Linked DNA regions of Saccharomyces cerevisiae S288C. The protein of the gene in region 1 interacts with the protein of each later gene in a biochemical or structural test. Each region holds a gene or a part of one and is shown in the gene's direction. Other genes may lie near its edges.

Region 1 (8,260 bases):
CATAATATTTGTGTGCACGAGATATGGGAGGACAAAAAAAAAGTTTCTTTGTTCAATATACCAATAAAAAAAAAGAGTCTAAAGGCTTCGTTCTGTTATATTTCTATTCTATAAACCTAAAAAAAGCAAAAATTGAGAGTGATGTCGCTTTAACTTGATTATTTGAACTATTTTGTTTTGTATCAATTTTTCATATATAATCTTAATTTTACATCTTCATTGTGAGACATTCGGGCTAACAAAGAAAACAAAAAATGCGGGTCACGAAAGGGGTACCGAGCCAATGAGAAGAGGGTATGTTAGTAATATTAGTGAGAAATGCGGCGCGATTGGTCCAGACCGAAAAAAATCAATATTATTAAACTGTAAAAGTTATATTAAAAATTAAGTTACATTAGTAATTGAAGTTCACAAGAAGAAAAAGAAGAGAATAAATCTAAAACCAGGCTTCAAAAATTAGGGTTGATTGCAAAATTCGAGTAAACAACTGCTAACGGCTGCTTTTTTTCTTGAACAGTTTAGTGAAGAAACTGGACTTCTTGTGCTTCGTGGGAGGATCTTGTGTTTGAGCCTGTATTGTCTTAGTGGCATGTGTCGAAGTGACCATTGTTGGCTCAGCGGCAGATAATTCATTCGTCGATGATGTTGTTGGATCCGTGGCGTCTTCCTGACGCTGAGGGGTTTGGTCCTGTAAAAGCGAAGAAGAAGACTTTAGATTATCCTGCAGTTCCGGTGATCTTGTTCTCGTTGTTGAAGCTACTGCGGAGGTAGGTACATTGCCCTGACTTTGCCCATTCGAGGACGCAGTAGTCGAGTCTATTTGTTGTTGAAGGGGTGAAGGTGAATCTGTAACTACTGGATTCGTCATCACACCTTCGTTTGAAGATGGCTTTGCGGTTGTCACACCTTCCGAAATAGACGCTGCTGGGAAGCTTTCTTCAGCATTACGAGTAACTGGAGTTTGTTCGCCTTGTTCCTTCTTGTGCTGGTAGCCGTAGTTTTCTTGAGAGAATTGCAGCACTTTATCGAACATGGTTTTGAACTTATTTTTGGAAGAACCAGTTGTTTTTGTCTTCTGCAATGGAATGGGCTCGTATTCATGCACTTCGCTTTGGACTGGAATTTCAGAATCCCCTAAATAGTGCTGCTCATTGGGCGGGATGCTCCCAGTGGATCCCAGATGGCTAACGCCGACCTGACGAGGTTTAGCCGCCGTAGTGCTATTATCGACTGCTTCAGGTTGAATACCATGTGAGTTGTAATACCTCGCTTGTGCGATTTTCAAAGCTTGGTCATACATTTCTTTATCTGTTAGCCCTGTGTTTGCACTTTTAGGCTCTGGAACTGGGTCAACAGCCTTATTCGATTTAAAATGTGTAGACACAGAGTGATTGTGCACTTCATGGGGGGCGCTTTTAGTATTTCTGCTGAAGAAGGAACTTGTAAATCTTTTTGGTTGAACCTCGACATTAGATTTGACAAGATTAGCAGTCGCCGTCGGAGAATCACTACTGCTTCTCAAGGTCATTTTTTGACCCATCCTACTTTTCCTGGATTTGTTACTCCCGAGGGGGGCCGATGCGTTATCCGAAGCAGCATCCGTGTGATAAACGTTTCTTTTAGCAACCTCTAGTGCCTTCAGATACATTTCTGCTTCGGTTAATGGTTTCTTGGCCTCTGCTTCTGCGTTTTTCACGGCAGGCGGTCTTTTCTTCCTTCTTGTCGTCGATGCTTGCTTCCTTTTATTATGAATATATTTACTACTGGTCTGATGGGTGGGAGGAATATAATCTAATGCGTCACTGAAGTTTGATAAACTACTTTCTTCTTCTAGAGGCATAACGTCTGTAGAATACTTATGGTGGAAATATGATCCAAGTGGGAAATCTGGTTTTTCCACGTTTAGCTCTGAATCATCTTGTAAATGACTTTCGCTTACTGGGGAATATGGCTTTTCGTTATCTGTTTCGTTTTCCTCGATTATATCGTGAATGTTATCACTAGCTTGTTCCTCTAAAATGTCGTCATCTTGCAACATGTAATTTTCACTAAATTCATCGAAATGACGCTGCGAGTCACCTAATGGAACCAAATTCTTAGTCGTAGTCGTGGTTTCTACGTATTCATACCCATTTATTTTTCTTATTGTCTTTTTGGTAATTGATTGAGTCCTTCCTGAAGGGTCTGTTACTTGTGTAGTCTTTACGGTAATGGAGTTGGCCCTTGAATCGTTATTGTTGCCGGCCGTCGATTTGTTCTTACCGTAGTTTCTTCTGACATTCGCACCAGACGTCATAGAATTCATACGGCTCCCATTAGTAGTATAACCGGGCGGGTGTAAATGGTACTCTCCGCTCCTTTGCGACCTCAACGAGTAAGTCTTCTGTGAATACTGCTTAGCTGCTGCCCTGGACGTTGGCGGAGCGGCAGAGGATGTGGAAAGCCTTCTTCCTGGGCTCTTTACCGAACTTCTTTGTCTCGGTATTGAAGGTGCATGACTAACCAGCGAGTGCGACCTTGAGTAATTGGTTCGATCCGGTGATGCGGCAGAAGCAGCAGAGGCAGCAGCAGCAGAGAGCTGAGGACTTTTGTTATAATCTTCATGGTTCTGATAGTAGTAATCATACCTAGATAAATCAGGTACCCTCCTGTCCCTCTTTGTAAAACCAAATACCATTTTCAACTTTCTTGATCAACAGAATGTCTTTGTTTGTTTATTCTAGTGAAAAAATAGAAGTAAAAAGCAATCAATATAAGCAACGTGAAACGATCGAAGGAAACTAAAAGAGGTTTGATGTTAGAAGAATTGATTAACACCAAATCAAGCAATTTATTGAAGTATGGGTCCCTGATGTTTGTCCTTCTCGTTCTTGCTTTCCCTCCCCTCTTCTCATCCATTCGCTTCATTTATGCTTTTATTTTCTTCTTTTTTTTCTCACAACAAATGTCCGAAACAAAAAAAGGGGCCTCAGCCATTAAAGGTAGTGAAAGGCACTTCTAAGAGTTGCGCCAAACAAGGGAAGATTAAAGGGAAAGAAAAGCTCTGGCAGGCTAAAACTGGCAGACTGGTCATGAGTGAAACTGGCGAAACTTCAGAGTATTATAAGCAGGCGCTGGAAGAATACAAAGAGGTCCAAGAAGACGAAGACCCGGATGTGTGGGACACGAGAATATCCAAGACCGGATGCTACGTAGAGAACCTCGCATTACAGCTGTGCCATGCCGAAACAGGTGACTGGAGGCAGTGCTTCAACGAGATGGCGTTATTTAGGAAGTGTTGGGAAAAGAATGGTAATAGAGAGCGCGTAAGCACAGTGGACGTGGATGGGACGACCAGTAAGGATTCGGAAAAGAAGAAATGAAAATCTAAATGTCGTGATGTATAACTTGTATATAATAGACAGCTGCAGTGATCGAAACACATTGTTTCCCTTTATAGAACATAACTGTTACGCTTTTGAACGGCATTTCTATGAGCTTCTAGAATATTTTTCCGCCCTAGCTGGAGAAAGTTCAGACAGAAAATTATTTAAATAAGTCGAATATCAGAGGTGCTGATGCGCTCACATCACATAGAAAACTGGTAAGACAATATTCAGGCGATCAAGGAGTAAAAATGACTAGACCTAAAACTTTTTTTGATATTTCTATTGGAGGTAAACCCCAAGGCCGTATAGTTTTTGAGTTGTACAATGACATAGTGCCTAAAACGGCTGAAAATTTTTTGAAGTTGTGTGAAGGAAATGCTGGTATGGCAAAGACTAAACCTGATGTACCATTGTCGTACAAGGGTTCCATTTTCCACAGAGTGATCAAAGACTTCATGTGTCAATTTGGTGATTTTACCAATTTTAATGGTACTGGCGGTGAGAGCATATACGATGAAAAATTCGAGGATGAAAATTTCACTGTTAAACATGATAAACCATTCCTTCTATCCATGGCCAACGCCGGTCCAAATACCAATGGATCTCAAGCTTTCATAACCTGTGTTCCTACACCTCATTTGGACGGGAAGCACGTTGTGTTTGGTGAAGTGATTCAAGGTAAAAGAATTGTTCGTTTGATTGAAAACCAACAATGTGACCAAGAAAACAACAAGCCATTGCGTGATGTAAAGATTGATGACTGTGGCGTGTTACCTGACGATTATCAAGTGCCAGAGAATGCCGAAGCTACACCAACAGATGAGTACGGCGATAATTATGAAGATGTTTTAAAACAAGACGAAAAAGTTGACTTGAAGAATTTCGACACCGTCTTGAAAGCTATCGAAACGGTAAAGAACATTGGTACTGAACAGTTCAAGAAACAGAACTATTCCGTGGCTTTAGAAAAATATGTCAAATGTGATAAATTCTTGAAAGAGTATTTCCCAGAAGATTTGGAGAAGGAACAAATTGAAAAAATCAATCAATTGAAAGTGTCTATTCCATTGAATATTGCCATCTGTGCTCTTAAATTAAAAGATTACAAGCAAGTATTAGTAGCCTCATCGGAGGTGTTATATGCCGAAGCGGCTGACGAAAAAGCCAAGGCCAAAGCTTTGTACCGTCGTGGCCTGGCCTATTACCATGTTAATGACACAGATATGGCTCTCAATGACCTAGAAATGGCCACTACTTTCCAGCCAAATGACGCTGCCATTTTGAAAGCTATTCATAATACTAAATTAAAAAGAAAGCAACAAAACGAAAAAGCTAAAAAGTCTCTTTCGAAGATGTTCTCCTGATTACTTGCATTATATATATGCTTATATGTTTAAATACTAAACAGTTGCGCTGCCTCAGTAGTTAAGTAAAAAGTACGTAGAAAACTCTGTTAAAAAAATTATTTTTTCAGGCATAATAAGCGGATATTTTCCGATGTCCATTTATGCAGTGGGAAGATTAAGAAGCTAATGATACCGTAACTCCACCAGTGAAACTAAAACGTGCGTCCAAAAAGCGCTGACATAAATTACTTATTGATGTCCTCACAAGAATATACAACTTTTATAGATATACCAGTGACAAGAGCGCAGGTTGAACACTGTTCTTACTCGTTTTGGTCCTCACTGTATCCCAAATATGTGCCAAAATCCATAGTGTTAAAATCCTTACCGAAAAAATTTATTCAATATTTGGAACAAGACGGTATCAAGCTACCCCAAGAGGAAAACTCCAGGTCTGTGTACACCGAGGAAATAATAAGAAATGAAGATAATGACTATAGTGATTGGGAGGACGATGAGGATACCGCCACCGAATTTGTCCAAGAAGTTGAGCCATTGATAGATTTTCCAGAATTACACCAGAAATTAAAGGATGCTTTGAACGAATTAGGTGCAGTGGCTCCCAAGTTAAACTGGTCTGCACCAAGAGACGCTACCTGGATTTTGCCGAATAACACTATGAAGTGTAACGAGGTAAATGAGCTTTACCTATTGTTGAACGCATCCAATTACATAATGCATGACCTTCAAAGAGCATTTAAAGGCTGCGTGGACGGGGATGATATAAAAGGATTGAAATTTGACTTGGTACTTAGACAATGGTGTGATATGAATCCGGCACTCGAATTTAGGGTCTTCGTTAAGAATGCGCATATCGTTGGGGCCACCCAGCGTGATTTAAATTATTATGACTATTTAGATGAGTTGTCAGATACCTTCAAGGACCTTATTGATGAAATAGTTCATGATGTCGTCCTGCCCAAGTTTCCTGATAAAAGTTTCGTTCTTGACGTTTATATTCCAAGACCTTTCAATAAAATCTTCATTGTTGATATAAATCCGTTTGCCAGGAAGACAGATTCTTTGCTATTTTCATGGAACGAGATTGCTGCGATAGCACCTCCGAAGAATGATGTTGAAGATTATGAATTAAGGTTAGTGACGAGGCATAACACGGGGAGATTCGCTTCAAAAGAGCACTCCGAAAATCATGTTCCACAGGATCTCGTAGAAGCTAGTTTAAATCCTGAAGCAATCCGAGAGCTCACTCAAAAATGGAAAGAACTACTCTCTCAACAGGCAAAGGAAGAAAGCAGTGATAGTGAGAATGAAACTTAGATTTAGAACCCGCATTTGAATATATTCGTCTTTTTATTACCCTGTTGTATGATTATATAAAATTATTTACATCGATTTATATTAACTTTTATCCGATAAAGCAACAAAATAACAAAAGTATGCGTGCAAGAATTATTAACAAGGGGCCTTACCATGTAAAACTTTCTTCTTCTAGTTCAACGTCAATCTTCAAGGAAGAGTCTATACCTTGGACCACTGCATTTCTAAAATCGTCGTTAAACGTTGCTGGCCCGCAGGAATAAAAGGTAATATTATTATTCTCTAGTTCTGAGAGTTTTATTTCCGAGCGCACTAGTTCTTTCAAATCAGGTCTTTTATTGAGACATTCAACAGTGATTTCGCTTTCTTCTTTATCATCAAAACCTTTTGTACTCTCATCTGAATTTGTGTCCTCAACACTGGAACCAGTATATATGACTGAGACTTCACAACTTTTCTCCTTTAACCATTGCAATTCATTTTCAAACCATTTCAAATGGGATAGGTCATTAACAATCCAGTAAAATTTATGCTGAAGTTGATCAGTAGATGGTAACCGTAAACATTCGACAAAGTGCGGATAAATAGCCGCAACACCCAAACCAGCGGCTACACCTACCAGATTTCTTTTTAGCTTAGCGATATGTGGAACCGTTACACCATATGGGCCTTCAAGGAATATTTTACAATCAACAGTATGATTTGGAGCACTTAGAACTTTCGATAACAAAACTCGAGTGATACCTTTATTTGCCTTTACGTACATCGTCAATTGATCTGGATTGTTTGGATCACGGTGTCGTTCCGATAATACTGTAAATGGATGTGATTGGAAACTATAGAACCATGCACTTTTTGGTGATAAGAAATACATGTATGCGAAAGCTCCTACTTGGTACTTGAAAAACTTTGGTTTTTTTACTGAAATTTTAATAACATTAGAATCATCAGTGGTACTCAAAGTAGCAGTTTTCAAGCCACCATTCATGATTATTCTAACAATCCTGCAGAATCTATCAAAGCATAAAATACCAGCCATTGACCAAATCCAACCCATCCAGCCCAGGGTGTGACAATGGTAGTACATGGCAATAATGAACATAATATTCATCGCTTTATGAATAAGAAGGAATATCTCATACCCTCTATTTCTAAATACTTTTTCACTTTGGAAAATAATAATAGACATTAATATCGTTGCCACTATACCCCACCTAAAGTAAAATTTCCTAACCAGACTTTGAAACACACCTCTTTTCACTCCCGAGGCGGTCATGACAATTGAGTGTACAACGGCCAACATGAAACAAACGTAGGCAGACCATTTATGATAGAAATTAAATGTAGAAAAGGAAAGCCCTGTTATAGGGATGAAGGGATTATTTCTTATTCCGAATAGATAGACTACTGGGAAAAGTGCAATGGCCATCAAGTCTGCTCTACGACTCACAAAGGCCATACTTCTTCTCCATCTGGGCCTATCATATGGGTGTGGAAGTTTAATATTATGACCAAAACTGAGAGATAATATAGTCAAAATAACAAAAATTAATACGACGAGACCCTTGCCTCGAGTTGTAAAATTAAATGGTAGACGCTTCCATAAATAAAAAGTTCGTTCATTATAATCTTTGTAAACAGAAGGATAAATAAGTGATTTTTTGACGGAGTTTGCCATGATGTTCTTACCAAACACCCTTTTCAGAATGTTCAAGATAGTGGCTGCAGTAAGCACAGCCACCCAGAAGAAGACGAGACCCCAAGCGCACCATTGAGAGCGCATTAGGTTAAGATGGATACCATAATTTTCCTCATAATAATAATGATACGCTGTCTCGTTCGCCATGAGCGGTTGACTAACCACGGTTTTTTTATCACTTTTCTCAGGTGCTCTCAAATAATTTGACGCATTTAAATAAATATTCTTCATGTCCTCTAAAGTATAAACTTTGATGCTTGAACATTGGGATGCTAACTTCATTAAGGCGCTGTCTAGTGTTTTGTTAGATTTGGAATTCTCATAGGCACATGCTGTCACTGAACCCAGCCAATTGATGTTTTTACAGTAGCAACTTTTAGATTTACTAGAACATCCAAATTGGTATAGCGCAGCTTGGGAAATACATGAAGTGCTAATAAGTGTAGCACTCGATTGAACCGTAGCAAAAAAAGATATAAATAAGCAGAATAATACACGGGTTCTAACCA
Region 2 (4,394 bases), on another chromosome or scaffold:
TTTTCCATCAATTTCACTTTTTCTCGCAATTACAAAATTTTTCACTCCGTCGTTGATGAGGACTCCGGCTCTGCGGGTAATGAAATGGAAAGTTCAATGCATTCAAAATATACGCTTTTGAAGCGGTTACTTAGTTTGTGAGAGAAATATACATTATTACTGTAACTCTTTTCTAAATTTTTTGTATTTATTAATGCATTTCTGCTGGTTCCATCCTTTTATCTTCTCCGGTACCAAGAAATAAAATATCATGCTCAATGGATATTACGGCTTTTATTCCACGAAGAAAACAAGCTCTTTACTTTAGTCTTTATTTATATTCAGTTTCTCGGTTTCTTCTCTTAAAGCCTCGGTGGCTTCCTTGGTGACTTGTTCAATTTCTGTACCCTTTGTGATTTGGACCGAATTCTTGCCCTCAGTTTGTGTGTCTTCTTCATCATCTTCAGGTTCGACATCATACTTCTTCAAAAAGTATGTTTCCACTTCTTCCTTCCCGCTGTTCTCGGCCTCAAAGATAGCATCGTGGCCGAATTTGTTTCTAATAAAGGGGTCTGCCTCATATTCATCACACAGTAGCTTGACCACGTCTAATTTGCCATTCAACGACGCCCAATGTAAAGCCGTGTTGCCTGTTTTGTTCACCTCATTAACAAAAGCTTTCAAGTCTTCGGCACTATTTGCGCGAGAAACCGTCTCCAGTATATACCGAACGGTCTCTATATGACCGTTGGCAGCAGCCATATGTAAAGCCGTAGAATCAGATTCACTTTCCTTACAAGTCGAAAGTAACTCGGGACTGACTAAAGTTGTAAATATATCTTTCAGAGAATCCAAATCGCCAGCTCTTGCATCGAGTATTATGGTGTCTTGGTCCTCTTGATCTAACGGTTCACTGTGTAGGCCCATATCTGCGTATATGTAGATTTTTTTTTTCTATTTGGAAATAATTACTTTCTTTGAGATAGAGCGCGAACAATTTTGCCTATCGTATTACAATTCGTTTTTGTTTTACACAAATGATAATTAACTCATCGATTTTTTCTCAGATTCTCTTTTTCTTTTATTACTTTTCCTTCTTATTCTATGAAAATTTCATATCATCGTTCATGGTGATATTACCACGGTGACATCAAATGGAATTGTCCTATTTTTCTTTTCCTGTAATTAGTGGCGCGGGACTTTTTATTCCTCGTGGCAAAGAATGGCTACTAAGAGGAGAATAAGAGATGGTTAGAAGTATTTGGAAGCTTGATGACAGAATATTTTAAAATATAACTTAGCTTGCGTGTGCGTATTTGTATTCTTCGTGGTTACGATATGAACCAACGTGCAAGCGTGTGATATATCACATTCCGGAGGGTGTCACCCCCCCTCTCTCAACACAGTAATCCATAAACCAGTTTTACATACACGTAAAAAAGAACAGGAATAAAGCTTAATCGGATTATTAACTCATACGCTTGTCACATATTGTTCGAACAATTCTGGTTCTTTCGAGTTTCGCAGAACTTTTTGAATTTTTCTTTTTTTTCTAGAACGCCGTGGAAGAAAAACACGCGCATGGTTTTATGAGCGGTTAATTCTCATCTTAATACCAACCAGGTCCTTCCGCCACCCCCTAAAACATATAAATATGCAGCTTATCCCTTCAATTCTTAACATCTGTGACCTCCTCATTTCTTCCCGCTGTATTAGAGTTCAAGAAATCATACCTGATAGAAAATAGAGTCCTATAAACAAAAGCACAAACAAACACGCAAAGATATGGCTAGTGAAACTTTTGAATTTCAAGCTGAAATTACTCAGTTGATGAGTTTGATCATCAACACCGTCTATTCTAACAAGGAAATTTTCTTGAGAGAACTGATATCTAATGCCTCGGATGCGTTGGATAAAATTAGATACAAATCTTTGTCTGATCCAAAGCAATTGGAAACAGAACCAGATCTCTTTATTAGAATCACTCCAAAGCCAGAGCAAAAAGTTTTGGAAATCAGAGATTCTGGTATTGGTATGACCAAGGCTGAATTGATTAATAACTTGGGTACCATTGCCAAGTCTGGTACCAAAGCCTTCATGGAAGCTCTATCTGCTGGTGCCGATGTATCCATGATTGGTCAATTCGGTGTTGGTTTTTACTCTTTATTCTTAGTTGCCGACAGAGTTCAGGTTATTTCAAAGAGCAACGACGACGAACAATACATCTGGGAATCCAACGCTGGTGGTTCTTTCACTGTTACTCTAGACGAAGTTAATGAAAGAATTGGTAGGGGTACCATCTTGAGGTTATTCTTGAAAGATGACCAATTGGAGTACTTGGAAGAAAAGAGAATAAAGGAAGTTATCAAGAGACATTCTGAGTTCGTGGCCTACCCAATCCAATTAGTCGTCACCAAGGAAGTTGAAAAGGAAGTTCCAATTCCAGAAGAAGAAAAGAAAGACGAGGAAAAGAAGGATGAGGAAAAGAAGGATGAAGACGACAAGAAACCAAAATTGGAAGAAGTCGATGAAGAAGAGGAAAAGAAGCCAAAGACGAAAAAAGTTAAAGAAGAAGTTCAAGAGATAGAAGAACTAAACAAGACTAAGCCTTTGTGGACTAGAAACCCATCTGATATCACTCAAGAAGAATACAATGCTTTCTATAAGTCTATTTCAAACGACTGGGAAGACCCATTGTACGTTAAGCATTTCTCCGTTGAAGGTCAATTGGAATTTAGAGCTATCTTATTCATTCCAAAGAGAGCACCATTCGACTTGTTTGAGAGTAAAAAGAAGAAGAATAATATCAAGTTGTACGTTCGTCGTGTTTTCATCACTGATGAAGCTGAAGACTTGATTCCAGAGTGGTTATCTTTCGTCAAGGGTGTTGTTGACTCTGAGGATTTACCATTGAATTTGTCCAGAGAAATGTTACAACAAAATAAGATCATGAAGGTTATTAGAAAGAACATTGTCAAAAAGTTGATTGAAGCCTTCAACGAAATTGCTGAAGACTCTGAACAATTTGAAAAGTTCTACTCGGCTTTCTCCAAAAATATCAAGTTGGGTGTACATGAAGATACCCAAAACAGGGCTGCTTTGGCTAAGTTGTTACGTTACAACTCTACCAAGTCCGTAGATGAGTTGACTTCCTTAACTGATTACGTTACCAGAATGCCAGAACACCAAAAGAACATCTACTACATCACTGGTGAATCTCTAAAGGCTGTCGAAAAGTCTCCATTTTTGGATGCCTTGAAGGCTAAAAACTTCGAGGTTTTGTTCTTGACCGACCCAATTGATGAATACGCCTTCACTCAATTGAAGGAATTCGAAGGTAAAACTTTGGTTGACATTACTAAAGATTTCGAATTGGAAGAAACTGACGAAGAAAAAGCTGAAAGAGAGAAGGAGATCAAAGAATATGAACCATTGACCAAGGCCTTGAAAGAAATTTTGGGTGACCAAGTGGAGAAAGTTGTTGTTTCTTACAAATTGTTGGATGCCCCAGCTGCTATCAGAACTGGTCAATTTGGTTGGTCTGCTAACATGGAAAGAATCATGAAGGCTCAAGCCTTGAGAGACTCTTCCATGTCCTCCTACATGTCTTCCAAGAAGACTTTCGAAATTTCTCCAAAATCTCCAATTATCAAGGAATTGAAAAAGAGAGTTGACGAAGGTGGTGCTCAAGACAAGACTGTCAAGGACTTGACTAAGTTATTATATGAAACTGCTTTGTTGACTTCCGGCTTCAGTTTGGACGAACCAACTTCCTTTGCATCAAGAATTAACAGATTGATCTCTTTGGGTTTGAACATTGATGAGGATGAAGAAACAGAGACTGCTCCAGAAGCATCCACCGCAGCTCCGGTTGAAGAGGTTCCAGCTGACACCGAAATGGAAGAGGTAGATTAGGTAGAACATCATGGCCTTGAATAGGTTATAAACAAAACATAATATAACGTATAGGTATTCGAATGAATAAATAAGTATGTAAATAGGGCATCTGCATGGAAATAACTGGGTAAAACATTACAATGTATTTTTTTAGAGTTTTCACTATTCCGACGCGTCTAGTGTGTCATACAAAACGCGAAGAATCTGAAATCGTGAAATATACTTAAGAATATAACTGAAATAGCTTAAGCATAAATGGACTTTACTGCGAAGATAAAGGGTATGTTGAAACTCATCTGCTTTCATTATGCGTCCAACTAATTAACATTGCATATTTTCGTATACTATTTTTTTGTGTAGAGCTCGAACGAGAACTCTCAGAGACGAGTGACTATAAGACCTTGCAGAAGAAGACCATAAGTCTTCGAAGTGAGCTGAATACTCTGTCACATTCTTTGACATCTTATGAAAAAGAACACTTCTCCAATGATATAGAAAATGTATTAAAATCTATTAAT
Region 3 (8,679 bases), on another chromosome or scaffold:
AGCTAATTACAGATTCAAGAACAGATGAGGATGAGAGTGTAGTGGAGTTACTAACATATGAAGGAGTAGTAGTATGTTGGGTAGCTGATGATACTGATATTGTGACGTTACTGGTGTATGATAGAGTGCTTGACAATTTTTCAGCAGATGAAACTGCTATAGTAGAAGTAGATTGGGTAACAGCGGTAGTTGTAGAATTATCAATGTAGGAAGCCTGTGTGACAGATATACTAGCTGAACTGATAATACTATATGTTTCAGTAGCAGACAGAGAAGATGAAGGAGTAGTAAAGGTTGAGTTTGAAGAACTTGGAGCCGATAAAGAAATACTTGAAGAAGAAGCTTGTTCACTGCTAGAAGAAACCGTAGAGACAGCGGACATGGAAGCGTCCGCCGAGGTGCTAGCACCGTCAACTGTAGAAGAAAGGATCCCGCTACTCAATGATGCAGTAACCGCAACTTCAGGGATAGCGGATGATTGCGAAGTATAAGAAGAAAGCGTTGAATTTGAGTATGTTGGTGTTATAGCAGCATCAGAGCTAGTTGTGTCATCACTGGTGGTGGAATCAATGTTAGCAGCTGACTCAGAATATAATTCTGAGGCTAGGGTGGTTGAAGTATCTCTCTTTCCTAAAAGTCTGACAGATGTACCTTCATCGGGATATGTTAATTCGACAGTATTTGATATGGACGAGGTAGATAGCTTCTTTGTGAAATAAGTCACACGGAAGTATAGCCCACCGCTGATTGTAGAATTAAATAAACATCTAATTTCATCTTCTGTGGAGTAGTCATGAACAGTTGTATATGGGATAGCATTAATAGGTTCGTTAAAAGAATCAACGGCAGTGACAACCTCAAACTTAGTTAACGAAGTATCGAATACGTAATCTGAGGAGGAAGATGTCTGAGAAGTCAAATAAACGGGATTTCTGAACGTTCTCATTGGTAAGTCAACGGTAAACCAGGCGGTATTATTAGTTTTGTATATACCACCATCTGTTGTTATAGCAGAAGTATTTTTAGCGACGTAATCAATAACGTCATTAAACATAGTATTTTCTGAATAGAAACTGTAAACGATGCTTTTTGGTTCTGTAACTTTGGATTTAGCATCTGATGTAAGCTGTGCAAGGAAGTTAAATGTAGTAGTTATATCTTCTGAACTCTTTTCTGGAATAGAAATGGTGAAATTGTTCGTCGATTTATCTGGGCGTGATATCGTGGCAACACTGTTAGAATTATGTTTTATGCTGAAGGGTTCTTGAGGGAATGAGCTGAAAGCATCTGGTACTTGGAATGTTATATTTTGCTGACTTCCCTTTGGAATAGACAGTTGCCCTTCTATTATGAACCAATGATCTGGATCCGTACATTCTTTTGTTTTGGTATAACTATCTGTTATTTGAATATCTTTTAAAATCGGTTGCGTTTGTGTGAGAGCGTTTGCTAGGCCGAGTATCGAAATGACTCGTACTAGATGTAACAATAGTTTATTCATTGTAGTGTTTTATATTATGCTTGTTTATGTTGATTCTACTGAAAGAAAACCATCAGAAAGTTTGAGTCTAAGGACACAAGTTTTAGGTCGGCAAGAATGTATTCTGCTTTTATATTTGTACTGTTATGGACGAATAAAAAAAAAACAAGCCACATTAAAAAGGAAGTACTAAATCGTATTCTTAGCATCAAACCAGCATCTTACTCATAAAAGCTTGAGTACCTTTTCGGAAGTGTCAGCCGAAAGTGTCAGTAAATTAGTCCCTTGTCAGCCTGCTGTTTTTCCTCACGGCGCGGAGCCAGCGCGTCCGAATTAGGAAAATAATAGAGCCAGCAAGAACCATTTCACTAAAGAGGTTACTAAAGAGGTTACTAAAGGAACCAGCAGAGGCTATATTAGTTGTGAATGGTACCATTCTATGCATAAATTTATTGGGATATGATCCTCCATGGTGGGACTTCGTTTAATATCAAATCCTTAGCACTGTTTTTTTTTGCTTTTTCTTTTTTGTGTTTCTTTTTCTTTGGCAGGGAAACGACATATCCAACATCCCATACACTATTGATCTTCGTTATGGCATTACTGCCACGCTCAACGTCATTTTTCGTCTTGTAGCTTATTCTCTGATTATTGTTATTGCAAGAGGTAAACGCTCATTGTGAATAACAATTTCGGAAACGGAGATACAATCTAGAAAAAAATAACAACAAACGAATTCGTTGCTAGGATCCACTCAATACACAGTATAGCCACAAAGAATAGGATATTCCAGCATGGTTTTGCCTATAATAATTGGTTTGGGCGTGACAATGGTTGCTCTAAGTGTCAAGTCTGGTCTCAATGCATGGACCGTCTACAAGACCCTGTCCCCTTTAACTATTGCAAAACTAAATAACATTCGCATAGAAAACCCGACGGCGGGCTACCGCGATGCACTTAAGTTCAAAAGCTCACTGATAGACGAAGAACTGAAAAATAGATTAAACCAGTACCAGGGAGGCTTTGCACCGCGAATGACAGAGCCCGAAGCCTTGCTCATCTTGGATATCTCCGCCAGAGAGATTAATCACTTGGATGAAAAATTACTGAAAAAAAAGCACAGGAAGGCTATGGTTCGTAACCACCCAGACAGAGGAGGGAGTCCCTACATGGCGGCCAAGATAAATGAGGCGAAAGAAGTTCTCGAAAGAAGTGTTTTACTAAGAAAGAGATAAAAGAACTTTATATATCATGTAGCCAATTGCTACACTTCCTTACACCACATAGTATACGGCGATAATCGTCAACACTTCCGGGAAAGTGCGGCCATCGGAGACTTTCAAACAAGTCATTAGAATTAGAACAAAGAACAGTAGTGGAGAGCATATATGTGTTTGCATACCCTCCAAAAGAAAGCGATTATAGTAACATTAATATGAAGGCATCGCTTACGTTTAGTCTCTCCGGAATATACGCCCCCTGTAGCATTTCTAGGGATATATATCTCGAATACGGCGATAAAAAAGCTGAATGTTTATATGGGACAATTAGATTGCCTCAGTACGGTCCAGGTTGCACGCCTGGTAAAATTGTACATTGTGTCCTGGATGATTCACTGCCCTTCTGTAGCATTGTTGTACCTTCCAAACTTTTTGGGTTTATGCCGACACAGCCCACTATGGATTTTTGCTATTTTGAACCCATATTAGACAATGTAGTACCTGTACTGGATAGCGTAACGTTTCTGATTAATGAACAATTGTACTCAAAACTAATGGACCTACCGCAAGAGATGCAACAAATACAATTTTTGCATTACAAATATAACATCAACTCCATGGAAACCGTGGTTCATTCTCGAGATATTTTAACATCTGGTCTTTGCCAAATTTTAAACTGCTCACCTTTCCCGCAGGGCCTTGTTGATTTTACAGAAACCCAATTGATATTAGTAAATGATACTGAGCAGAAACTAAGTGCTCTAAAATATGCTAACGAAGATGAAGAATATGCATTACCTAAAATAGGGACAAATTCTGCTTTATCAATTGATCTTGAATCTCTCCCCTGCACAATTTCAAGAGATCTTTTGCGACCTGCACCTCACATCAATGATGATAATTCAATATATGCCTTTACAGACGCTGAAACTCTACTGCGCCTGGATGTCACAAGTGGATCGTTTATAACAGTGTCAAATATGGGTTGCGTCAGGCTAGTTAAGCTGTTTGTTTTACTACTCCCCAACGGCTTTAAAAAAAGAACAATATACGCACCTCCCAAAATAATAGCAAGCTTTCCAGACTGCAGCGTCGTGACAATATCAAAGTCCAATATAGGCCATACAGATATTCCCATTGCTAATCAAGTTTTCATCTCAAGAGTTGGAGGCTGGCTTCAATCTCAGAAATGCTTTCAAAATATTATTCTAACAACCTTGAAAAAGTTTTTTAGCGAGAGCAAAAGGATTCTTTGTCAAAATGATTTAATCCCAATCGCTTTTGATTCAAGTATGGCTGATCTCAATATAGCAGAGGAAAATGATGAGTCTGATGACGAAGATGAGCTAGGGCAGTACTACAAGAACGATTCCCTTGTATGGTTCTTTGTCACAAGCGCAGAGCTCGATTGCTTCTCTAAAGATAATTCTCATTTTATTATTGATCCCAATCGGACGAAGCTAATAACAACTAATATCACTAACAGAAGACCATTACCCTTGAGTAGATCCAATCTTCAGAGATATTACGGTTTTGCTGAAACTTTTTACTATGATTTGCATATCTTCCCCTATGTAAGACAATTGGTTAACATATTAGAAACTTCCTTCAATTGTTCTCAAAGGGGAATCACCCTAAATGCCTCTGTGTTACTTCATTCCACTACAAACAATGTGGGCAAGGCTACAATGGTGAGATTTGCTTCAAAATATCTTGGTATACATCTACTGGAGATAGATTGCCTTTCGCTCACTTCAAATTCAAGACAACTGGATTCAACATCTAAGATTATTGGTTACATTAGGGCTAAATGTGAAAATGTCCTACCGTACGCATCACCTGCTGTGATTTTTTTGGCTCATTTGGATTCAATTTTGCTTGACGTAAACGCTAATCAAGATCCAGAGGCAATCAAATTACAAAAATCTATAAACTTCGAAATGTCTAAACTTCTGGACGATTTTACGTTTAAATTCCCAGGAACTACATTTGTTGGCTCCGTAAATAACATAGATAACGTGCCTTCCAGCTTTAGATCACATATGAGATTTGAGATTCTCGTACCCGTTCCGTCTGAAGCACAGAGACTGCGTATCTTTCAGTGGTACTTATCTTCACATGAACTAAACAGAGATGTTCAACAAAAGGTTCCAGTATCTTACATGGATAATATTTCATTTTCATCACTCTCTTCATATTCTGCTGGTTTAACTCCTTTAGACATCAAATCAATTGTGGAAACGGCACGAATGACGGCTACTGCGCGTTTTTACCAAGAATCAAAGAAGTGTGGATGGCTTCCGCAATCAATTTTGATCACTCAGGAGGATTTATCAAAAGCTACTTCGAAAGCTAGGAACGAATTCTCGGTTTCGATTGGTGCCCCACAAATCCCTAACGTAACTTGGGATGATATAGGTGGTATTGATTTTGTTAAAGGTGAAATATTGGACACAATAGACATGCCGCTAAAACATCCTGAATTATTTACCTCAGGTATGAAAAAGAGAAGCGGTATTCTTTTTTATGGTCCACCGGGTACAGGTAAAACTCTAATGGCTAAGGCCATTGCAACAAATTTTTCTTTAAATTTTTTTAGTGTTAAAGGCCCTGAACTGTTGAATATGTACATTGGTGAGAGTGAAGCTAATGTGCGCAGAGTGTTTCAAAAGGCGAGAGAGGCTAAACCTTGTGTCATATTTTTCGATGAAATCGATTCAGTAGCACCCAAACGTGGTAATCAAGGTGATTCGGGTGGTGTTATGGATCGTATCGTTTCACAGTTACTAGCAGAGTTAGATGGTATGAGTACCGACGCTGACGGTGTATTTGTTATCGGAGCAACAAACAGACCAGACTTATTGGACGAAGCACTACTAAGACCAGGACGATTCGATAAATTGTTATATTTAGGCATTCCGGATACGGATACCAAACAATTGAATATTTTAGAGGCTCTGACTCGCAAATTCGTGCTCGACAACGACGTAAAGCTTATTGAGTTGGCAAAGCTATGTCCATTTAATTACACCGGGGCAGATTTTTATGCTCTCTGCTCAGATGCAATGCTTAACGCCATGTCAAGAATTGCACGCATGGTAGAAAAAAAAGTTTCTCAGCATAACGAATTGACGGGAGAGAATATTTCTACACGTCGCTGGTTTGATAAGATTGCGACAAAAGAGGATACTAAGGTTGTCGTAAAAATGGAAGACTTCTTGAAAGCACAAGAGCAGCTCACCCCAAGTGTGTCGCGGGCTGAACTGAATCATTATGAAGCGGTGAGAGCTAATTTTGAAGGTGCTTAAGTAATATCAACTCAGAGCGTATAGGTAAATTTGTAAATATATGTCCCATATTTTGCCTTGAAATTTATCTTTTTATTTACTTACCCTCCCCGGCTCATAGTATCTATCGAAAGGGAAAAACAGAAAAGATACTAGTAGTTGATTATACATAATAAAAATTTGAAGTAATAACCATAAAGGTTCATAAAACAATTGCGCCATACAAAACATTCGTGGCTACAACTCGATATCCGTGCAGATGGTATATGAAGCAACACCTTTTGATCCGATCACGGTCAAGCCAAGCGATAAAAGACGCGTTGCATATTTTTACGATGCAGACGTTGGGAACTATGCATATGGAGCAGGTCACCCGATGAAGCCGCATAGAATAAGAATGGCACATTCCCTTATTATGAATTATGGCTTGTACAAGAAGATGGAAATTTACAGAGCTAAGCCGGCAACGAAACAAGAAATGTGTCAGTTCCATACTGATGAATACATTGATTTTTTATCGAGGGTTACTCCAGATAATTTAGAAATGTTTAAAAGAGAAAGTGTCAAGTTTAATGTCGGAGATGATTGTCCTGTCTTTGATGGGCTCTATGAGTACTGTAGCATATCTGGTGGTGGCTCTATGGAAGGAGCTGCTCGTCTGAATAGAGGCAAATGTGATGTTGCTGTCAACTATGCGGGTGGTTTGCATCATGCAAAAAAATCGGAAGCTTCTGGGTTTTGTTATTTAAATGACATAGTACTGGGCATTATTGAGCTACTACGATACCACCCCAGAGTTCTGTATATTGATATTGATGTGCACCATGGTGATGGTGTAGAGGAAGCGTTTTATACAACGGATCGTGTCATGACATGTTCTTTCCACAAATATGGTGAGTTTTTCCCTGGCACAGGTGAACTGAGAGATATAGGGGTGGGTGCAGGAAAAAACTACGCGGTCAATGTGCCATTAAGAGACGGTATTGACGATGCTACGTATAGATCTGTGTTTGAACCTGTGATAAAAAAAATTATGGAATGGTATCAACCTTCTGCTGTCGTGTTACAGTGTGGTGGGGACTCCTTGTCCGGCGATCGTCTTGGTTGCTTTAATCTTTCCATGGAAGGCCATGCTAATTGTGTAAACTATGTGAAATCCTTTGGGATCCCAATGATGGTTGTTGGTGGAGGAGGCTATACTATGAGAAATGTTGCAAGGACATGGTGCTTTGAAACAGGTCTACTAAATAACGTTGTCTTGGATAAAGATTTACCGTACAATGAATATTACGAATATTACGGTCCAGATTATAAGTTAAGTGTTAGACCTTCGAATATGTTCAATGTAAATACTCCCGAATATCTTGACAAGGTAATGACCAATATATTTGCTAATTTGGAAAACACAAAGTATGCCCCTAGTGTTCAGTTGAATCACACACCTAGGGATGCCGAAGATTTGGGTGATGTTGAAGAAGATTCTGCCGAGGCTAAAGATACGAAGGGTGGTTCGCAATATGCGAGGGACCTACATGTTGAGCATGACAATGAATTCTATTGAAAAAAAGAGTTGGAAGTATATACGAATATAAATAATGTGAAACAAAAGAAGAAAAGTGAATAAAAGGCACTTAAGACGCTATCCAATTGTGTATGAGAAGTGCAAACTCAATTTTTTTGCAAAAGACTTTTCTCAAACCTTTAATTGATGCGTTCCGTTCATACATCAACCGCGTCCCATACGTTTCGAAGAAAATTGCCTATATGTGTTATTTACATACTAGAGATATTTTAATATTGAAACAGTTGTATTTCTATTGTAATTACTATCTAAACGTCTCGTCCCACCGCTGTTGATAAAGCGGTGCCAATATAATTTATAATCACGCCTGGGTAAATGACTTTTAATTTCTTAAATCATCGAAGTATGCGAAAACAAGAAGTCTTTATTCATAATAAAAAACAAATTCGGTTACTACGACTTTTATATGTCATTCAATATTTGGTAATAATTTTACAGTATTAACCCTATCCTCATCTGATTCACTCTCTTCTAATTGCATATATTTTCAAATTCGCTTTCAGCGCTGTACAAAACCAGTAAGCAGATCTCGTACGAAGACTCAAATAAGTTGCATTGTTCGTATTCAAGGAAACCGGGGGGCAAAATTTCCAACCATATTTAAGTATGACAATATTTCCAAGTCAAGGATGCATGCTGTTCTTCTCTTCATTAACTAGCTAACCAATTAGCTGAACGGCTTTGTATTTTACTTAACATATTGTCTATTGCATAAAAAACCACTATTCAGCATGACTGACTTGTTTAAACCTCTACCTGAACCACCTACCGAATTGGGACGTCTCAGGGTTCTTTCTAAAACTGCCGGCATAAGGGTTTCACCGCTAATTCTGGGAGGAGCTTCAATCGGCGACGCATGGTCAGGCTTTATGGGCTCTATGAATAAGGAACAGGCCTTTGAACTTCTTGATGCTTTTTATGAAGCTGGAGGTAATTGTATTGATACTGCAAACAGTTACCAAAATGAAGAGTCAGAGATTTGGATAGGTGAATGGATGGCATCAAGAAAACTGCGTGACCAGATTGTAATTGCCACCAAGTTTACCGGAGATTATAAGAAGTATGAAGTAGGTGGTGGTAAAAGTGCCAACTACTGTGGTAATCACAAGC
Region 4 (7,922 bases), on another chromosome or scaffold:
CCATTCTAATAACAACAGACAGTCAAGGTCTAATCCGTGTTTTCAGAACTGATATCTTACCGGAAATACGAAAAAAAATAATAGAAAAGTTCCATGAATACAATTTATTCCACCTCGAAGCTGCTGGTAAAATCAACAACCACAACAATGACAGCATATTGGAAAATAGAATGGATGAAAGAAGTTCCACAGAGGATAATGAGTTTAGCACAACCCCACCATCTAACACGCACAATAGTAGGCCAAGCCACGATTTTTGTGAGCTGCATCCTAATAATAGCCCGGTGATTTCCGGCATGCCATCAAGAGCTAGTGCTATTTTCAAGAATTCGATCTTTAATAAATCCAATGGAAGTTTTATATCCCTAAAGTCAAGAAGTGAAAGTACGAGCTCCACGGTGTTTGGACCGCATGATATTCCGAGAGTTTCTACCACTTATCCGAAGTTGAAATGTGACGTCTGCAATGGATCTAATTTTGAATGTGCTTCCAAAAACCCCATTGCTGGCGGTGATAGCGGTTTCACGTGTGCTGATTGTGGTACAATCCTCAATAATTTCAGATAGAGAATCAGAAAGTAAGAGGAAAAACTATCTGTTCCACCGTCTTTAGATCATAAGCATGTCTGCAAATAACATAGTATTATTATTTATATCTGTAGCGATCTTTATTATTTTTCATTACTGACACATTTTCTCACAGAACCATCTACAACCCGAAAGATGCCGGAAACGGTCTTAGGCCGATGGGGTCTATTAGGGCCTACAGAGACGTCAATTGGGCTATAAGAAAAATGAAATCGAGGAAAGATTTTCCACTCTCAAATTAAGTAGGGCAAAAATATGCTTTTGTTCGCATGTGGTGTTATTCCAGTTGCGAGTCAGGGTCTGCCGATATGCTAAAGGAGGTCACGAAAACGAATCTGGCATTTAATACCTCATTAAGTTACAGCGGAATCGGCCTTCTGTTGCGGAAAAAAAAAAAAAAAAGAAAACGAACATTAAGCACCGCTGAAATTTCAAGCTGTGACTAAGTCGTCAAATGATAAATACTGCATATATATAAACTATGTGATTATATGCAACATTAAGATATACTTTCTTCTTCCATAATGCCCCCACTCCAGAACTCCATCCGAAATAGTTTTCCTTAGATTGCTATAGCAAGTCAGACACAAGCACATCTCATCGAATTATATCGTAAGCAAATATGTCATCTGACAACTCTAAACAAGATAAACAAATTGAAAAAACAGCCGCCCAGAAGATATCGAAGTTTGGTTCGTTTGTGGCTGGTGGGCTAGCAGCATGTATAGCTGTTACAGTTACTAATCCGATCGAATTGATTAAAATCAGAATGCAGCTTCAAGGTGAAATGTCAGCATCAGCTGCAAAAGTTTATAAAAATCCAATCCAAGGTATGGCGGTAATTTTCAAAAACGAAGGTATAAAAGGTCTGCAAAAAGGGTTAAATGCTGCTTATATCTATCAAATTGGGCTAAATGGTTCCAGATTAGGGTTTTATGAGCCAATCAGATCATCATTAAATCAGCTTTTCTTCCCAGATCAAGAGCCACATAAGGTACAGAGCGTCGGAGTTAACGTCTTTTCTGGTGCCGCATCTGGTATAATTGGTGCAGTCATTGGCTCTCCATTATTCTTGGTGAAAACAAGACTTCAATCATATTCCGAGTTTATAAAAATTGGTGAACAAACGCACTACACCGGTGTTTGGAACGGGTTAGTAACCATTTTTAAAACCGAAGGTGTTAAGGGTCTATTCAGAGGTATTGATGCGGCAATTTTAAGGACAGGTGCTGGTTCCTCTGTTCAACTACCTATCTACAACACAGCAAAGAACATTTTGGTCAAAAATGATCTGATGAAAGATGGCCCAGCATTACATTTAACTGCTAGTACTATCTCTGGGTTAGGTGTTGCCGTCGTTATGAACCCATGGGATGTCATTTTGACAAGAATCTATAATCAAAAAGGTGACTTGTACAAGGGACCTATAGATTGTTTGGTCAAAACTGTTAGAATCGAAGGTGTAACCGCTTTGTATAAGGGTTTTGCAGCTCAAGTGTTCAGAATCGCACCTCATACAATCATGTGTTTGACCTTCATGGAACAGACAATGAAACTAGTTTATTCGATAGAGTCGAGAGTTTTAGGCCATAATTAATTCCCATAACAAACTCCGAGGTTTGAAGTTTCATTCATTGGCCAGGACAGTTCTACTTTACTAATGGTTTCATTACAACCTTTTTCTTCATATTATGTAGCATTAAGGATAATAGAGCATTTTTTATTTCACATTCATACACGATAGTTTTATAAACGTAATTATAAACATACAGAACATTATTCACAATTGTCCAGTTCCAAGAATTATATGCTCTCGGATCTCGGAGTTCTTATTTATAAAATGATCAGTTACAGTGTAATCTTGCTTAGAACTTTCTTTTTCTCAACCTTTGTTTTTTCTTTTACTTTTGCTTCTTCGAGTTTTTTCAGATAGCTGTTATACACAACCACATCTGCTACTAAGACCAATATTCCAAAGAACAAGCACAACAAAAGACGAACATGGACCGGAAAGTTTGTTGAAGATCCGGTCCAGTACCAAATGGCCACAACAACCGATATGACACTTACAAGAACGTTGAAAACAGTGGTAACTTGTTCCTTAATCTGTTTATTAATTTGTGAAGGCGTGAGTTCATCGTCTTCTTGAAGTGAAAAGACAGACTTGCTTCTCTTGACCATACTTTGATATTCAAGTTCTTGTTCCTGATATTTCAAAAACTCTAATTTTTTCTTGAAATCCTCTGAATAGTGTAAACCTCTGACGGCCTTGGGCTTGAATTCGAACTCCAAAGGTTTCAAAAGTTCTTTGATAGAGCATTGGAGATCACTGTCTTTTCTATACTCTTTCACATAAAAAAGAAGTGACTGCATAGGTATTGCGTGTCGCTTCAGGAACAAATCAATGTCCTCATCAATTCCTTCGTTTGATTTCGCGCTATTCTTGAACTTTCGCAGAAATTCAGTTATTCTATCATTCAGTTTAATTTCGAACATTAGAGTTCTTTTATGTGATGCCAATCGTCAATTATCCTATCTTACCTTTTCTTCATTTCTTTCAGCGTTTTCATGTGAGATTTGCTTTATTTTCGCTTCCTCGTTTCTCATTTTAAATATTCACACGTCCGTCATGTCTACTTTGAGTCAGTTAAATACACAAGATTTTTGTAAAACTGAGTATTTCGTGAACAATATAATTGTTCGGATTCAATCATAGTTAAAGACTATAGTATGAGATACACAGAATATCCTAAAAGTTCCCCTCGAGGGTATAGGAAACCTCAAAATGGAATCGGTCTTTCTACATGATAATATTACTCTAACTTCTTTTCTTCTATACTTTGCCATTCATTACCCTATCACGTTATCAATCCTTGCATTTCAGCTTCCATTAAGACCGATAACTGTTTCCCAATCTCTATGTCATCATCTTACACCGCTGTGATAATATTCTAGGAAGACGAATACTAGCCAATAGATGATACAAGGATTTCATTTCGACAGAAACAAAAAAAGCATGGAAAAACGAATGGAGACAAAGAGGAAGTTAAAGAAAGTTCATTTGTGACCTCATTTACTCAGAAGAATTTCGTAAATCGGTTGTTATAGAACTGTTTTATTGTTTAAAAGAGCTTGTTATAGTAATCTAAGTGGAAATACACTAACAGTAAATAGGGCGTGTGGCGTAGTCGGTAGCGCGCTCCCTTAGCATGGGAGAGGTCTCCGGTTCGATTCCGGACTCGTCCAATCTTTTTATACTTATTAATAATTTTTTTCCTGCCGTTACTTGCTTTTAAAATAACTGCCTTTTATGAATACAGAGTATAATTTTTGATATACAAAGAGGTTGACTGTGATAATCAATACTTAATTTGTGGTTATTGGTACACATATACCTACAAAAGTTACCAACAAACTGTTCGACTTTTAATGCTACCCGCCTTCCGAGTGTTTTTGAAGGGGCGGAGAGGAGCGGCAAGAATTAGCATGGAAAAAAGCATAAAAAGACGAAATGGGTGGCAATGTATTAACTTGTTCGAGAAACCTAGTGGACTCAATTCATTACAACAACAAGTTCCCAAGATCATCGATTCATAATAGTCATGTCCGATAAAGTTATTAACCCTCAAGTTGCATGGGCTCAAAGGTCTAGTACTACTGATCCAGAAAGAAATTATGTCTTAATAACTGTGTCAATTGCAGACTGTGATGCCCCTGAGTTAACCATTAAGCCATCATACATCGAATTAAAGGCTCAATCAAAGCCTCATGTTGGCGATGAAAATGTCCATCATTATCAATTACACATTGATCTATACAAGGAAATTATACCTGAAAAAACAATGCATAAGGTTGCTAATGGCCAGCACTACTTTTTGAAATTGTATAAAAAGGATTTAGAATCTGAATACTGGCCACGTTTGACAAAGGAAAAGGTGAAGTACCCTTACATCAAAACTGATTTCGATAAATGGGTTGATGAAGATGAACAAGACGAAGTTGAAGCTGAAGGTAATGATGCCGCTCAAGGAATGGATTTCAGCCAAATGATGGGAGGTGCTGGAGGTGCTGGAGGTGCTGGAGGCATGGACTTCAGCCAAATGATGGGAGGTGCTGGTGGCGCTGGTTCTCCAGATATGGCTCAATTGCAGCAATTATTGGCTCAAAGCGGTGGTAATTTGGACATGGGAGATTTCAAAGAAAACGATGAAGAAGATGAAGAAGAGGAAATAGAGCCGGAAGTGAAAGCTTAAAAGGAGGAGCAAATCAACCTGGAGTGCTAGAATGAGTAACTTAGAATAAAAGACGAATATATGCACTTTACACAACTCTTTACCTGTTTGTTATTGGCTGCCTCTATGTAATTAAATATTATGGAATTAATAAAAATATTTTTATTCGTAACTATCTTAGATATATATTGTACATTGTCAAAAAGACAGTAGTAAGCAGATAGAAGCTATATTGGATGCAAAATAGAGAAAAAAGCAGAAATATTATGTTGCAAATGTCAAGTAATGGAACTGTATGTGATATTTAAAGAACAATTTCTATATGCTGGATGATTATCAGGTGTAAGCAATAAGAAAGAAAACGAAAGTAACTCCCATCCGTGGGAAATTTCAAGAAAAACTTAGAGTATCAGCGATCGTTTTAACGAAGGGGGATTCGTAAATTTCATTAATCGACCAACGTTGGTTCTTCCTCGTTAGCGTATTTTCCACAATCTGTTTTCCCACATTAGTTTTATAATCGCTTAACCGGTACCATCTCCAATCAAACCTGGCAATACGATGTGACGTAGCTCTGCTACGCTGTCTTGCTGAAGCGTTTGGAGGAGGGTCAAATGGTAATCTGTCCTCAAACAAGCTGTATAGTATGACACCTAAGGCCCACGTGTCGCTTAAATGGCCATCGTAGGGAACTCCCATCAGGATTTCTGGTGAGACATAATCCTCTGATCCACATCTTGCTGTACACATCTCATTGTTCTCAATTTTTTTGCAGAGACCAAAATCTGCTAGCTCAATGAAATTTTGCTTGCAGTAAATGGGTGAGTCCCTAAAACTGTTGATATCATCAAAACTATATTTCAGTAGTATATTCTCTAATTTTAGGTCCCGATGAATAATACTGTTTTCGTGCAAATATTTTACTGCCAGTACTACTTCCGTAAAAATCCTTTGAATCAGCCACGCTTCTAGTCTTCCGTTACGGGCCATGACGGCAGCTAATAAGTCTCCTGCAGGACAATAAGACATAATCATATCACAAGGCGGCAGAGCTCTTGGAGTTTTTATAATCAAATCGCATAAAGGTTTTTTGCTAGTAACAAAAATTGGATTGTTTATCCCAAGTAGTTTAACTATACATGGGTGATTTAGTGATTTTAGCACCTGCAATTCCCTAGTCAGAGAATTTTCCAAACGGGATAAAGTTTCCTTATATCGTAACGATGTATTGATTTGTTCAACATTTGATAATTCCTCGGGATATTTGAGTCGTTTAACGGCCACTTGTTTCAGTTTAGGATTGCTTTGGTCCATGAGTTCATATAAAAGTACGGTACTAAAATTTCCTGAACCAATGGGCCTGACCTTTTTCCATAATAACGGGCGATCCCAGTGATCTAAAAGAAATCCCTGAAATATATCATCGTCACACTTTTCGGTAGAACTACTACTTTCGGGAAAATAAGGTTCTTTCGTGTAGTTATCACTATCAACAGAATCATTTACTAAAGCCTCTTCAGTCACTGTTGGTAAGGAAACAACCCTTTGGGGGGATAAATTAGCTGGTGCAATAAGTTCAGAAACAACTCTTTGGTTTGGTTGTGTAACAGAAAGCATATCATCCAGTAATCGTGCATGACTTCGTCTTTTGGGTATATTCAACGAGGATTGATCTATAGGTGACATTGACAGATTGCCTGGGGATAACGGAGTGTAGGTCATCGGTGTAGGTAATGCTTGGACATTTTCAAACGTCGGAATAGATACAGTCAAAGGTGTACTGCGAGAATCACCAGTGGTCCCTTCAGTGGATGCCATTTTTTTATCTTCCTCACCATTTTCATCAATCAATGCCTTTTCGTGTTGATCGCCAATGGAGTCGGGAAATCCTTCTTGTTTCAACCGAGGAGTCTTTGGTTGTGAATATATACTACTATATTCATCCATTGTCGGTATAACCTAACAGCTGCTGTGGGTATGGATGAATTCGAAGCGTAGATGTGATTACTATCTCAAAATATACTTGTCTAATTGTGTAAAAAAGAAAAAAAAGATAAAGAACACACCCCGCGTTGAAGATTACAAGTAAAAAACTTTCTATGCTTAGGAATAACGTTCCATAAGAGGATGGTGTGCTCAGCCTTCTTAGTTCATTTACTGGAATGTATTTAACTTTACCCTTTTCGTCTGCTAATCCATCAGTATGTGAAAAATGAAAATCTAAAAAAAAAAAAGGCTGCCTTATTCTGTAACGCAACGCGAAACATCTATAAACCAAGTAAGTAGTTTCTATGAAATGGGCAACAGCATCTTGGATGACGAAGGGTAGCATTTAGTTACGTACGTTGAGATAATCTACAAAAATTGATTACGTATTTAAAATTCTTCTCGCTTCTCATTATTCTTTCTTAGTCTTCCTCTTCTTTGTCATTTGTGACAAGATATCATTATCGCTTGGCTCTGCAGTGGCTTTCTTCCTCTTGGTGCCCCCAGCTCGCTTCTTTTGTTTAACCTCAAACTTGTCTAACTGTTCCTTACGCGATTTAGCACCTAATTTCTGCAGCGTATCATTTTTTTCTTTATACTCCTTGTCTTCTAACAATTCGCTCTCACTCTTTGATTCCAACCACTCCATAAGTTTGATTTCATTACCATAGCCTTCATCATTTTCGTATGGAGTTTCCAAGACAATAGGGATACCCTGCAGGTATTCAGAGTGCGCGATCATTCTAAACACATCTATACCCAAATAACCTTGACCCAAGCGTTCATGCAAATCTCTATTTGCTCCTAAAGGAGCCTTGGAATCATTTAAGTGAACAGCACTTAGATATTTGAACCCTATTACATCATTGAACTCTTTCCAAAAATTGTTAAACGTTTCAGTGGTGCTGATATCGTAGCCTGCTGCAAATGTATGGCATGTATCTATGCAAACGCCGATTCTTGATTTATCTTCAATCATTCCAATAACCTCCTTCAAATCTACCAGAGAACTTCCTACTAAATTTCCAGTACCAGCCATATTTTCTAATACAATTTTAACAAATTTCGTTTCCTTAATTGCTTTGTTCAAATATGAGGCTAGTTGTTTTAACTGCAA

The links.
Region 2: the proteins of CPR6 (region 1) and HSP82 form a complex in vitro, tested with the Saccharomyces cerevisiae proteins (7 studies listed by BioGRID).
Region 3: the proteins of CPR6 (region 1) and RPD3 form a complex in vitro, tested with the Saccharomyces cerevisiae proteins (one study listed by BioGRID).
Region 4: the proteins of CPR6 (region 1) and SBA1 form a complex in vitro, tested with the Saccharomyces cerevisiae proteins (one study listed by BioGRID).

Annotation. Positions count from the first base shown.
Region 1 is NC_001144.5:568,568-576,827, reverse strand, and holds CPR6 (peptidylprolyl isomerase CPR6), read left to right. Parts: upstream 1-3,616; coding exon 3,617-4,732; downstream 4,733-8,260. Other genes in the region: CCC1 (Ccc1p), read right to left, coding at 1-3; MSC3 (Msc3p), read right to left, coding at 491-2,677; COA4 (Coa4p), read left to right, coding at 2,910-3,362; cell proliferation protein CDC123, read left to right, coding at 4,970-6,052; FRE1 (ferric/cupric-chelate reductase), read right to left, coding at 6,201-8,260. UniProt on the Saccharomyces cerevisiae protein: PPIases accelerate the folding of proteins. It catalyzes the cis-trans isomerization of proline imidic peptide bonds in oligopeptides.
Region 2 is NC_001148.4:95,996-100,389, reverse strand, and holds HSP82 (Hsp90 family chaperone HSP82), read left to right. Parts: upstream 1-1,764; coding exon 1,765-3,894; downstream 3,895-4,394. Other genes in the region: YAR1 (Yar1p), read right to left, coding at 304-906; GTPase-activating protein CIN2, read left to right, coding at 4,132-4,156, 4,237-4,394. UniProt on the Saccharomyces cerevisiae protein: Molecular chaperone that promotes the maturation, structural maintenance and proper regulation of specific target proteins involved in cell cycle control and signal transduction. Undergoes a functional cycle that is linked to its ATPase activity.
Region 3 is NC_001146.8:16,870-25,548, reverse strand, and holds RPD3 (histone deacetylase RPD3), read left to right. Parts: upstream 1-6,246; coding exon 6,247-7,548; downstream 7,549-8,679. Other genes in the region: EGT2 (Egt2p), read right to left, coding at 1-1,501; MDJ2 (Mdj2p), read left to right, coding at 2,275-2,715; PEX6 (AAA family ATPase peroxin 6), read left to right, coding at 2,916-6,008; AAD14 (putative aryl-alcohol dehydrogenase), read left to right, coding at 8,301-8,679. UniProt on the Saccharomyces cerevisiae protein: Catalytic component of the RPD3 histone deacetylase (HDAC) complexes RPD3C(L) and RPD3C(S) responsible for the deacetylation of lysine residues on the N-terminal part of the core histones (H2A, H2B, H3 and H4).
Region 4 is NC_001143.9:216,135-224,056, forward strand, and holds SBA1 (Hsp90 cochaperone SBA1), read left to right. Parts: upstream 1-4,189; coding exon 4,190-4,840; downstream 4,841-7,922. Other genes in the region: DGR2 (Dgr2p), read left to right, coding at 1-566; OAC1 (Oac1p), read left to right, coding at 1,210-2,184; VPH2 (Vph2p), read right to left, coding at 2,436-3,083; serine/threonine protein kinase PRR1, read right to left, coding at 5,210-6,766; DNA-(apurinic or apyrimidinic site) lyase APN1, read right to left, coding at 7,218-7,922. UniProt on the Saccharomyces cerevisiae protein: Acts as a co-chaperone.